2 linked regions of the Oryctolagus cuniculus genome follow. The protein of the gene in region 1 interacts with the protein of each later gene in a pairwise test. Links are inferred from orthologs where the notes say so. Each region holds a gene or a part of one and is shown in the gene's direction. Other genes may lie near its edges.

Region 1 (4,624 bases):
AAATCTCTGCAATTCTCCCCATGAACCCGTAGAACTCCAAACAACCCCTGTGGAAAGGCGTATCCACGTGCTGTAAGGCGTGCACATTGTTTCAGGTATCCGGGTGCTTTCCATAAGAAACCCATAGATTTCTGACTGCCTTTCTAATCTACCTAACATAGCGACCCGACGGAGGAATCACGCGGCTGCTTTGGCTGCAAGCTCCAGGAGTTCTCTCCGGAGACCACACCCGACGCCTGAGGCTGGCCGCCGCAGCTTCCCTATGAAAATCAGCCACCTGCATGGCCTTTCGAAATCATCAGGTTGGGTGTTACACAGGTGTACAAAGCGGGCAAGGGGGCTTTTAATAGGAGGGAGTCGGTAGTGTCAAGTCCACGAAGCAGGGATTTAGCTCGGGGAAGTTCCAGCCAGGCAGCCTGAAGTCAGTTGCCCGCCGTAGAGCGAGCCGCCGCCTAGCAAGCGGGTCTTCTCCTTGGTAGCGTCACTCTTCCTCTGCTTCCCTCCGTCTACCCGCGTCGTCAACACACCGAAAGCCTCCAAGGCTTTCTTCCCCACAAAGAAGAAAATTTAGGAAGCCAGAGGCAGTGCCCTACAGCTTTAGAAATGATAAAAGGTAACACCTGCAATGCACGCCGCAATCGCGCACGTGTGTAGGTAGGGGGGCAGAACCCTGTGGGCTGAGAAGCAGCCCACCAACTCCGGGGGTCAGGGGGCCCAGGAGAAAGGTAGATTAATTAAAGAAAGTGCCAGAAAAACTGCAAAGAAACGCGAAACTTTCCTCGCTAAATGCCGCATACGTGCAACCACAGCCTATTCTCCTCTCAAACCACTAGCGACACTGCACCGTCGCCATAAACACTAAGTGGGGAAGAGGGGTGATCAAAGAGGTCCCTGGTGGGAAGCGGTGGGCTGCGGGCCAGGGTCTCCGAGAGGTACCGGGTTATGGAAAACTAAGTTGTCAGTGGGCGGCGAGAACCAATGGCTGGGGATACTTGAGCATCTGAGTGATACGTGGGTCCCGGGGTAAGCAGGCTGCGGCTGGCTGGGTGGGAAAGGACAGGACACAGGTGCGGGGATATAGGGTCTCAGAGAACAGAAAGGGCCTCAGAGAAAAGTGCAAAGGAGAAGAGCCGCAGCTCAGCGGCCCCGCGCCGCCGCCCCCGCCCTCCGTTTTGCGCAGAATCCTCCCCTTGGCTGCAGCAGCGCGCTGCCCCCACTGGCCGGCGCGCCGGGATCGATCGCAGGCTGCGTCAGAAGCCTCGCGGCGTATAAATAGGGGTGGCAGGACGGCGCCGAGCCGCACACAGCCATCCATCCTCTCCTTTCCCTCTCTCCCCCGTCCTTCTTTCTCTCTCCAGGCCCCATCTCCGGCCGCGGGCCAGAGGGGCACCGGCCGCCACCATGAGTTCGTTCAGCTACGAGCCGTACTACTCGACCTCCTACAAGCGGCGCTACGTGGAGACGCCCCGGGTGCACATCTCCAGCGTGCGCAGCGGCTACAGCACCGCGCGCTCCGCTTACTCCAGCTACTCGGCACCGGTCTCCTCCTCGCTGTCCGTGCGCCGCAGCTACTCCTCCAGCTCCGGCTCCTTGATGCCCAGCCTGGAAAACCTCGACCTGAGCCAGGTAGCCGCCATCAGCAACGACCTCAAGTCGATCCGCACGCAGGAGAAGGCGCAGCTGCAGGACCTGAACGACCGCTTCGCTAGCTTCATCGAGCGCGTGCACGAGCTGGAGCAGCAGAACAAGGTCCTGGAAGCCGAGCTGCTGGTGCTGCGCCAGAAGCACTCGGAGCCGTCCCGCTTCCGGGCGCTGTACGAGCAGGAGATCCGCGACCTGCGCCTGGCTGCCGAAGACGCCACCAACGAGAAGCAGGCGCTCCAGGGCGAGCGCGAAGGGCTGGAGGAGACCCTTCGCAACCTGCAGGCGCGCTATGAGGAAGAGGTGCTGAGCCGGGAGGACGCCGAAGGCAGGCTGATGGAGGCGCGCAAAGGCGCTGACGAGGCGGCACTCGCTCGCGCTGAGCTGGAGAAGCGCATCGACAGCCTGATGGACGAAATCGCCTTTCTGAAGAAAGTGCACGAAGAGGAGATCGCCGAGCTGCAGGCGCAGATCCAGTACGCTCAGATCTCCGTGGAGATGGACGTGTCCTCCAAGCCCGACCTCTCCGCCGCCCTCAAGGACATCCGTGCACAGTACGAGAAGCTGGCCGCCAAGAACATGCAGAACGCCGAAGAGTGGTTCAAGAGCCGCTTCACCGTGCTGACCGAGAGCGCCGCCAAGAACACCGACGCCGTGCGCGCAGCCAAGGACGAGGTGTCCGAGAGCCGCCGCCTGCTCAAGGCCAAGACCCTGGAGATCGAAGCATGCCGGGGCATGAACGAAGCGCTGGAGAAGCAGCTGCAGGAGCTGGAAGACAAGCAGAACGCCGACATCAGTGCTATGCAGGTGCGGCCTGGTGCGAAACACGGCGGGGGCGGGGACCTGCAGAATGCGGGGGTCGGGGCAGGGGGAGAGTTGAAGCTGCGCCCAAAAAGTGGAGACCAGGGCTGGTAGGGGTCGCACTGTGCTCCCAGGGGACGGTGTGGGAGGGGCGGGGCCCTTGGGTGGGGCGGGGCCGCTACTGCAGTCTGGGTGTGTGAGTGGTGCAGTGGAGTCTGAGTTCCGCATTGAAGCTGCCCAGCGTGGGAGGGGTCAGGCGGGGGCGGGGGAGAGGTGGGAGTAGGGCGTTGCCCTGGCCTGCAGGGATGTCGGGCCATCTACCTACCTGCATTCACCTGAAGTTACTTTGCAACACCAGTGGGATCACCTGGTTAATAACCATAGCGAGTAAGTCTTAATTAGTCCCGAAAGGTTACTGTGGCCAGTATATTTTATGACTGGTTAAGTACCAGCTACTCCTCCCCTTAGCAGGTGGACAGGAACCCAGACAGATTTGTCTTGGGTAACTAGCTGGGGAGCAGAAATATAGGAAATATTTTAGAGAAAGTATAAGCAATTTAGCTACTTCCTTCTCTTATGAAGAAATGGATGAATTTTCTGGATTGTGACCTGGCTAAAGTGGAGTTAACCCATAAATGAGAATCCAGCCTTTTCTGTCAAGTTAGTTTCCATGCAGGCATATTCTGATGCTCCTTAGATTGTACTAGTTGAGGATATTGTCTTAAAGGAATGTTCTTTCTTTAGTTTTTTTTTTTTCTTCTCATGCTTCATGAAGCTGGATATTTTAGGCGAGAAATATTTTCAAAAAAGAGTGAGCAGCTGTTTTAGGGGAGATTTTTATTAAAGGTGTGCCCCTCGACTCTAACTGAAACTGAGTGTTTGTAACTGAGCTACAGTAAAATGATAGCAGTAGGAATTGATGCTTAGATTTTCTTCTTTTTCTGTCTTCCAACAGGACACGATCAACAAACTAGAAAATGAATTGAGAACCACAAAGAGTGAAATGGCACGATACCTAAAAGAATACCAAGACCTCCTCAATGTGAAGATGGCTTTGGATATTGAGATTGCAGCTTACAGGTAACAACAGAAGGGCAAAGGTAGTAGCCAGAAAGCCTTGGAAGAAAATCAGATGCCATTTAGATCATGTTGAACCAGAAGCCTTCTGCAATAGCCCTCTGAAATGAGATATTATTATGATTAGTTTGCTTCTTCGAAGGAGCAAGTGTTTAGACAAATATCAAAGAACTTTACCCTGTAATATTAAGTCCTGTTTTTAGCTTCTCATTACACTTAAAATCTAATAGAACTATTTAACGTACTTTATTCTGTATCCCCCCACCCCCAGTCTCATTCATAAAATTCCTAGCCATTGGATATTGGTAATTCCCAGCCCTCTCTTGTTTGCATTTGCCTGTAGGATGGCATTGGGAGAACAGATGAGAGGTGGGCTTAGAGCAAGTCATTAAATACACTTCCTAGGTTGTTTTAATTTTAACCCTACCCTCTGTTGGTCTCCCCAGAAAACTCTTGGAAGGTGAGGAGACCCGACTGAGTTTCACCAGTGTGGGCAGCATAACAAGTGGCTACTCCCAGAGCTCCCAGGTCTTCGGCCGGTCTGCCTATGGCGGTTTACAGACCAGCTCCTACTTGATGTCCGCCCGCTCCTTCCCGACCTACTACACCAGCCACGTGCAGGAAGAGCAGATCGAGGTGGAGGAGACCATTGAGGCTGCTAAGGCCGAGGAGGCCAAGGACGAGCCTCCCTCTGAAGGGGAAGCTGAGGAGGAGGAGGAGAAGAAGGAAGAGGGTGAGGAAGAGGAGGGAGCCGAGGAAGAAGAAGGTATGATGAAAAACAAGCCCATGCACCTTCACGTGCAGACTGGGCATGGCTGTTTCTTAGGAGAGGTACAAGGTAAATGAAGTCCTGCTTGTGCTTAGGGGTGCTTTATTCAAACATGATCTCAGAATCTTAAATAATACATTTATCTGTTTATTCAATACACCTTTACCAAGCACCTATTGTGAGTGAGATGATTGATCAAAAATTTCTTTTTTGCTTTTTTTTAAAATTGTCACATACTTGTAAAAATCCATCTTTTCATATATTTAACATAGCAACCTGGTGCCCTAAAGAGCAAAAATAATCCCAAACATACATAAAAGACTCAGAATAGGTTTT
Region 2 (4,182 bases), on another chromosome or scaffold:
TACATCCATTAAATAAAAGGTTTCTCTGGGAGGGGAAAACAAAAAAACAATTGTGGGTTTACTTGGTTCTGGACTCTGAATTCTTTCTCACTGATCTATGTATCTTTCCTTATGTGAGTACTACACAATGGACTTGATATCTGTAGCAAGCTTTAACATTGGAAATTATTAATTCTTTTTCAGGATTTTTTGTCTATTTTGGAGTCTTTGTATTTCCATATGAATTTTAGAATCAGCTTATCAATTTCTGCCAGAAAACCAGCTGGGATTTTAATGGAGATTGCACTGAACATATGGATCAATTTGGGGAATATTATTATCTTAAAAATACTTAGTCTTCTGGGGGCCGGCACTGTGGCTTACTTGGTTAATCCTCCTCCTGTGGCACTGGCATCCCATATGGGTGCCGGGTTCTAGTCCCAGTTGTTCCTCTTCCAGTCCAGCTCTCTGCTGTGGCCCGGGAGTGCAGTGGAGGATGGCCCAAGTGCTTGGGCCCCTGCACCCGCATGGGAGACCAGGAGGAAGCACCTGGCTCCTGGTTTCAGATTGGCGTAGTGCTGGCCGTAGCGGCCATTTGGGGAGTGAACCAACGTAAGGAAGACCTTTCTCTCTGTCTCTCCTTCTCACTGTCTATAACTCTACCTGTCAAATAGAAAAAAAATACTTAGTCTTCCAATCTGTTAACATGGACTGTCTTTTTATGTATTCACATCTTTCTTTGATGTTTTGTTGTTGCTATTGTACATGTTTAACTACTTTTGTTAAACTTATTCCTAAGTATTTTATTCTTGTTGATTTAATTTTTGAATGGAATTGTCTTGTTAATAGCATTCCTGGATTCTTCCAGTGACTTTTTAACACAGTGATATTTATTCTTTGTTACTTGATTTTTTTTTCCCTCTCAAAGATCCATCAATCTTACATAGTTCTGTGAGTAAAAAGAAATCTGACTCTACCACTTGCCACTTAGTCAGAGACACAAACAAGTTGGGAATTGGCCATGATACTGCAGAATCATCTCCACTCCTTGTCAAAGATGTCGTTTGTGAAGATGATAAAGGAAAAATCATGGAGGAAGTAATGAGGACTTATGTAAAACAACAGGAAAAACTGAACTCAATTTTGCAAAAGAAGCAACAACTTCAGATGGTAAAGTTGTTATTTAAATGATAATTCATTATGAAAAGATACTTTTGCACATTCTCAGAGGAGTCAAGATATGTTGCAAATATATGTTAGATTGTTCAGTTTCACACTGATAGGCAATTTTAATACATTTATAGAGAAGATATTTTTCAATATAACTGTTGATATATAGAACTAATACGAATTTTATATATTTTCTGACTTATTTTTTCCTGAACTAAAAGTTTTTTTGTTTTTTTTTTTTTGAAATTTTTAACCTGATGGAAATAAAATTGTATTGTGATTCTGTACTTACAGGAAGTGGAAATGTTGAGTAGTTCAAAAGCTATGAGGGAACTCACTGAAGAACAACAGAATCTGCAGAAAGAACTTGAATCTTTGCAGACTGAACATGCTCAAAGAATGGAAGAATTTTATGTTGAACAGAAGGACTTAGAGAAAAAATTAGAGCAGGTAATGAAGCAAAAATGTACATGTGACTCAAATTTGGAAAAAGACAAAGAGGCTGAATATGCAGCACAGGTAAGAATTACTCAGTTTGTATAATGTGCCCTTTCAACATGAATGGAAAGTGTTACTGCTCTGTTAAAGAAATTACTTTTTGTCAAGCTCATTCACTAGGCTAGATTTCAATGTAGATAATTCTGTTAAACACAATTTTATGCTAGATTGTCTATGATGATTTTTTGACTTTTATTGGTTTATTACTTTAAAGTTTATTGGATTTCTATAATTTATTTACTTAAATTGTAAATCTAGCTCTCTGATGATCAAATATTATTTTAATAATATATGCTTTCAAATCAACATATTAACAAATAACTGTTGCCTACTCTATTCAAAAGCACTGAAGCAAAAATAAATAAGTAAATCCTTTATGTTAATAGTTGCTCACATTTGAGGGAAGATGTACAAATATTAGCTTGAACAGGTTGTAACAAGGATCTAGTAATGCACAGAAAATAATTAAAGTGCTGTAGGTGTTTTAGGTGTTTATTCCTCTTGATCCTTTGCTTTACCTTCAATTTAATGTCATGTTGAATGTCAAGGTAATAGTATTAGATACTTAAAAGACTGTGGTATGCATGAAATAGTTTGTTTTGTAAAACATAATGTGAAAGTAGGTCTTTGCTGTGGTATAAGATTAAATGGAAAAACAAAACTAAATGAATATTGACACAGCCTTTTAAATCACACAGCTAGCAGAACTGAGACAGAGACTGGACCACGCTGAAGCTGATAGGCAAGAACTCCAAGATGAACTCAGACAGGAGCGGGAGGCAAGACAGAAGTTAGAGATGATGATAAAAGAGTTAAAGCTGCAAATTTTGAAGTCATCCAAGGCTGCTAAAGAATAGGAACTGTTAAAGAGATCATCTGTGTATACTGACAGGGTTTTTTTGTTTATTGCTTGCTTTGGTAATAGAATTCTGAACAACTTATCCGCATGACAATAGCTAGGCATTCTACCCATTTGTAGATCAAAGAAAGTGAAGAGATTATATATTAGTACATAAATTTTTACATTTTCCAAATGAATGAAAATGTAGGTTTCTTTGTATTTTTTTTTCAGCTTAGTAACAATATAGGATTTCAAGTAGTAGATAACCTGCCTATATTTCTAATGTGAATTTAACAGTTGTATACTTTTTAAAAGCTGCATTATGTGATGGGAAATAGCTGTGGTCAATTTTGTTATCCATATTTCAGACTCAATTTTAGATATAATGGTGGCATTATATTTCAAATATATACTATAGAACTATTCAAGGAGTTGAATCTGCATTTTTCTTATTAACACAATCTCCTTTATAAGTGATATATATACTCATTATTATACACAGACATTAGCTTTTACTTTGTTCAGATTGTGGAATGAATTTCTTCAATCCTCAGTTCTCTTTTAAATGTCTCCTAAGAGGAATTTCATTAATGAAGGAATAGCATAACCCATGGGTGTCATTGGAAAGAGTAAGATGTTTTGTTACGCATTGCTGCTAAATGTAAGAAGCAGTTGTAATTTGTTTTTCAGGTTTAATGTGGTTATATTTAGAAATTTTTTACGCTGTATCTTCAGAAAAATAATGATTTCTGAACTTTTGTTTATGTTGTTAATAGTGGTGTGAAAATAATAATGTTGAGAAGAATTGGTGTCATTGATGTACATCAGTTTCTATAGAATCCACAGTCCTTCTGTACAGGTTTTGTATGTAGCTATGGGTTGGAATGAAATTTATATAATGGATTTGTTTTCCTTTAAATTGTAAAATATTAAACATATTGAAGGTTATTTTGGACTTTTGTATGTTAAATGTTAAGTCTTACCAAAAATTTGCACGAATGGACCATTTTCAATTACTACTTAATATCAAAATCAGGAATTTACAGTCAACTGATAGTGTATGATAGCTTTGTATAGGAGTTTAATTATCTGCTACTAAAATTTTTAGATAATTTTTAGTTTACAAAAGAATTCCATAGTTTGGGAAGAGGCAACATCTTCTGTACTTTTTTTTTTTTGCACAGAAAAGTCTGTCACTCTTTAAAAGCAAATTTCCTGTTAATTCTTGGCTTAAAAGATAATAGAAAAAAAATTGTTAGTATGCAGTTTTTTAAAGGAAAGTTTCCTGAAACCACCAGTAGTTGACATTATTAACCCCATGAATTTTGTTTTTCATGCTTTCTGACAAGGTTCTGTATGAAATTATTACAAGTGAACTAGAATGAAAGTTGTGTGCTATGTCCATTGTAGAAGGCAGGTACTCTAATGTTGGTAGAACTTAAAAAAAAAAAAAAATCACATAGCTTATCATTAACCAGTTATTTTCAGATTGTTCTTAATGGTACTCATATATCCCAAAAGAATTTCTATAGTTCCTAAAAGGGAACTTTACTAAACAGAGTATGATCTAAATGTGTATTTTCTACTTTTCATTTCAATTTTTACTATATTTACCCTGTAATTTAATTTATTGATTCTTGGAATCTCAAGATGGAACAAATGTTGAAAATGCATATCTCCCTAATATAATTTAT

What was found.
Region 2: the proteins of NEFL (region 1) and SKIL interact in binary tests that used the Homo sapiens proteins (3 or more experiments, as listed by UniProt). The link is inferred for Oryctolagus cuniculus from reciprocal best matches to the Homo sapiens genes NEFL and SKIL.

What each region holds. Positions count from the first base shown.
Region 1 is NC_091433.1:49,228,246-49,232,869, forward strand, and holds the start of NEFL (neurofilament light polypeptide), read left to right. Parts: upstream 1-1,265; 5' UTR 1,266-1,401; coding exon 1,402-2,448; intron 2,449-3,397; coding exon 3,398-3,522; intron 3,523-3,965; coding exon 3,966-4,285; intron 4,286-4,624. UniProt on the Homo sapiens protein: Neurofilaments usually contain three intermediate filament proteins: NEFL, NEFM, and NEFH which are involved in the maintenance of neuronal caliber.
Region 2 is NC_091435.1:109,896,501-109,900,682, reverse strand, and holds part of SKIL (ski-like protein), read left to right. Parts: intron 1-907; coding exon 908-1,149; intron 1,150-1,443; coding exon 1,444-1,668; intron 1,669-2,345; coding exon 2,346-2,504; 3' UTR 2,505-4,182. UniProt on the Homo sapiens protein: May have regulatory role in cell division or differentiation in response to extracellular signals.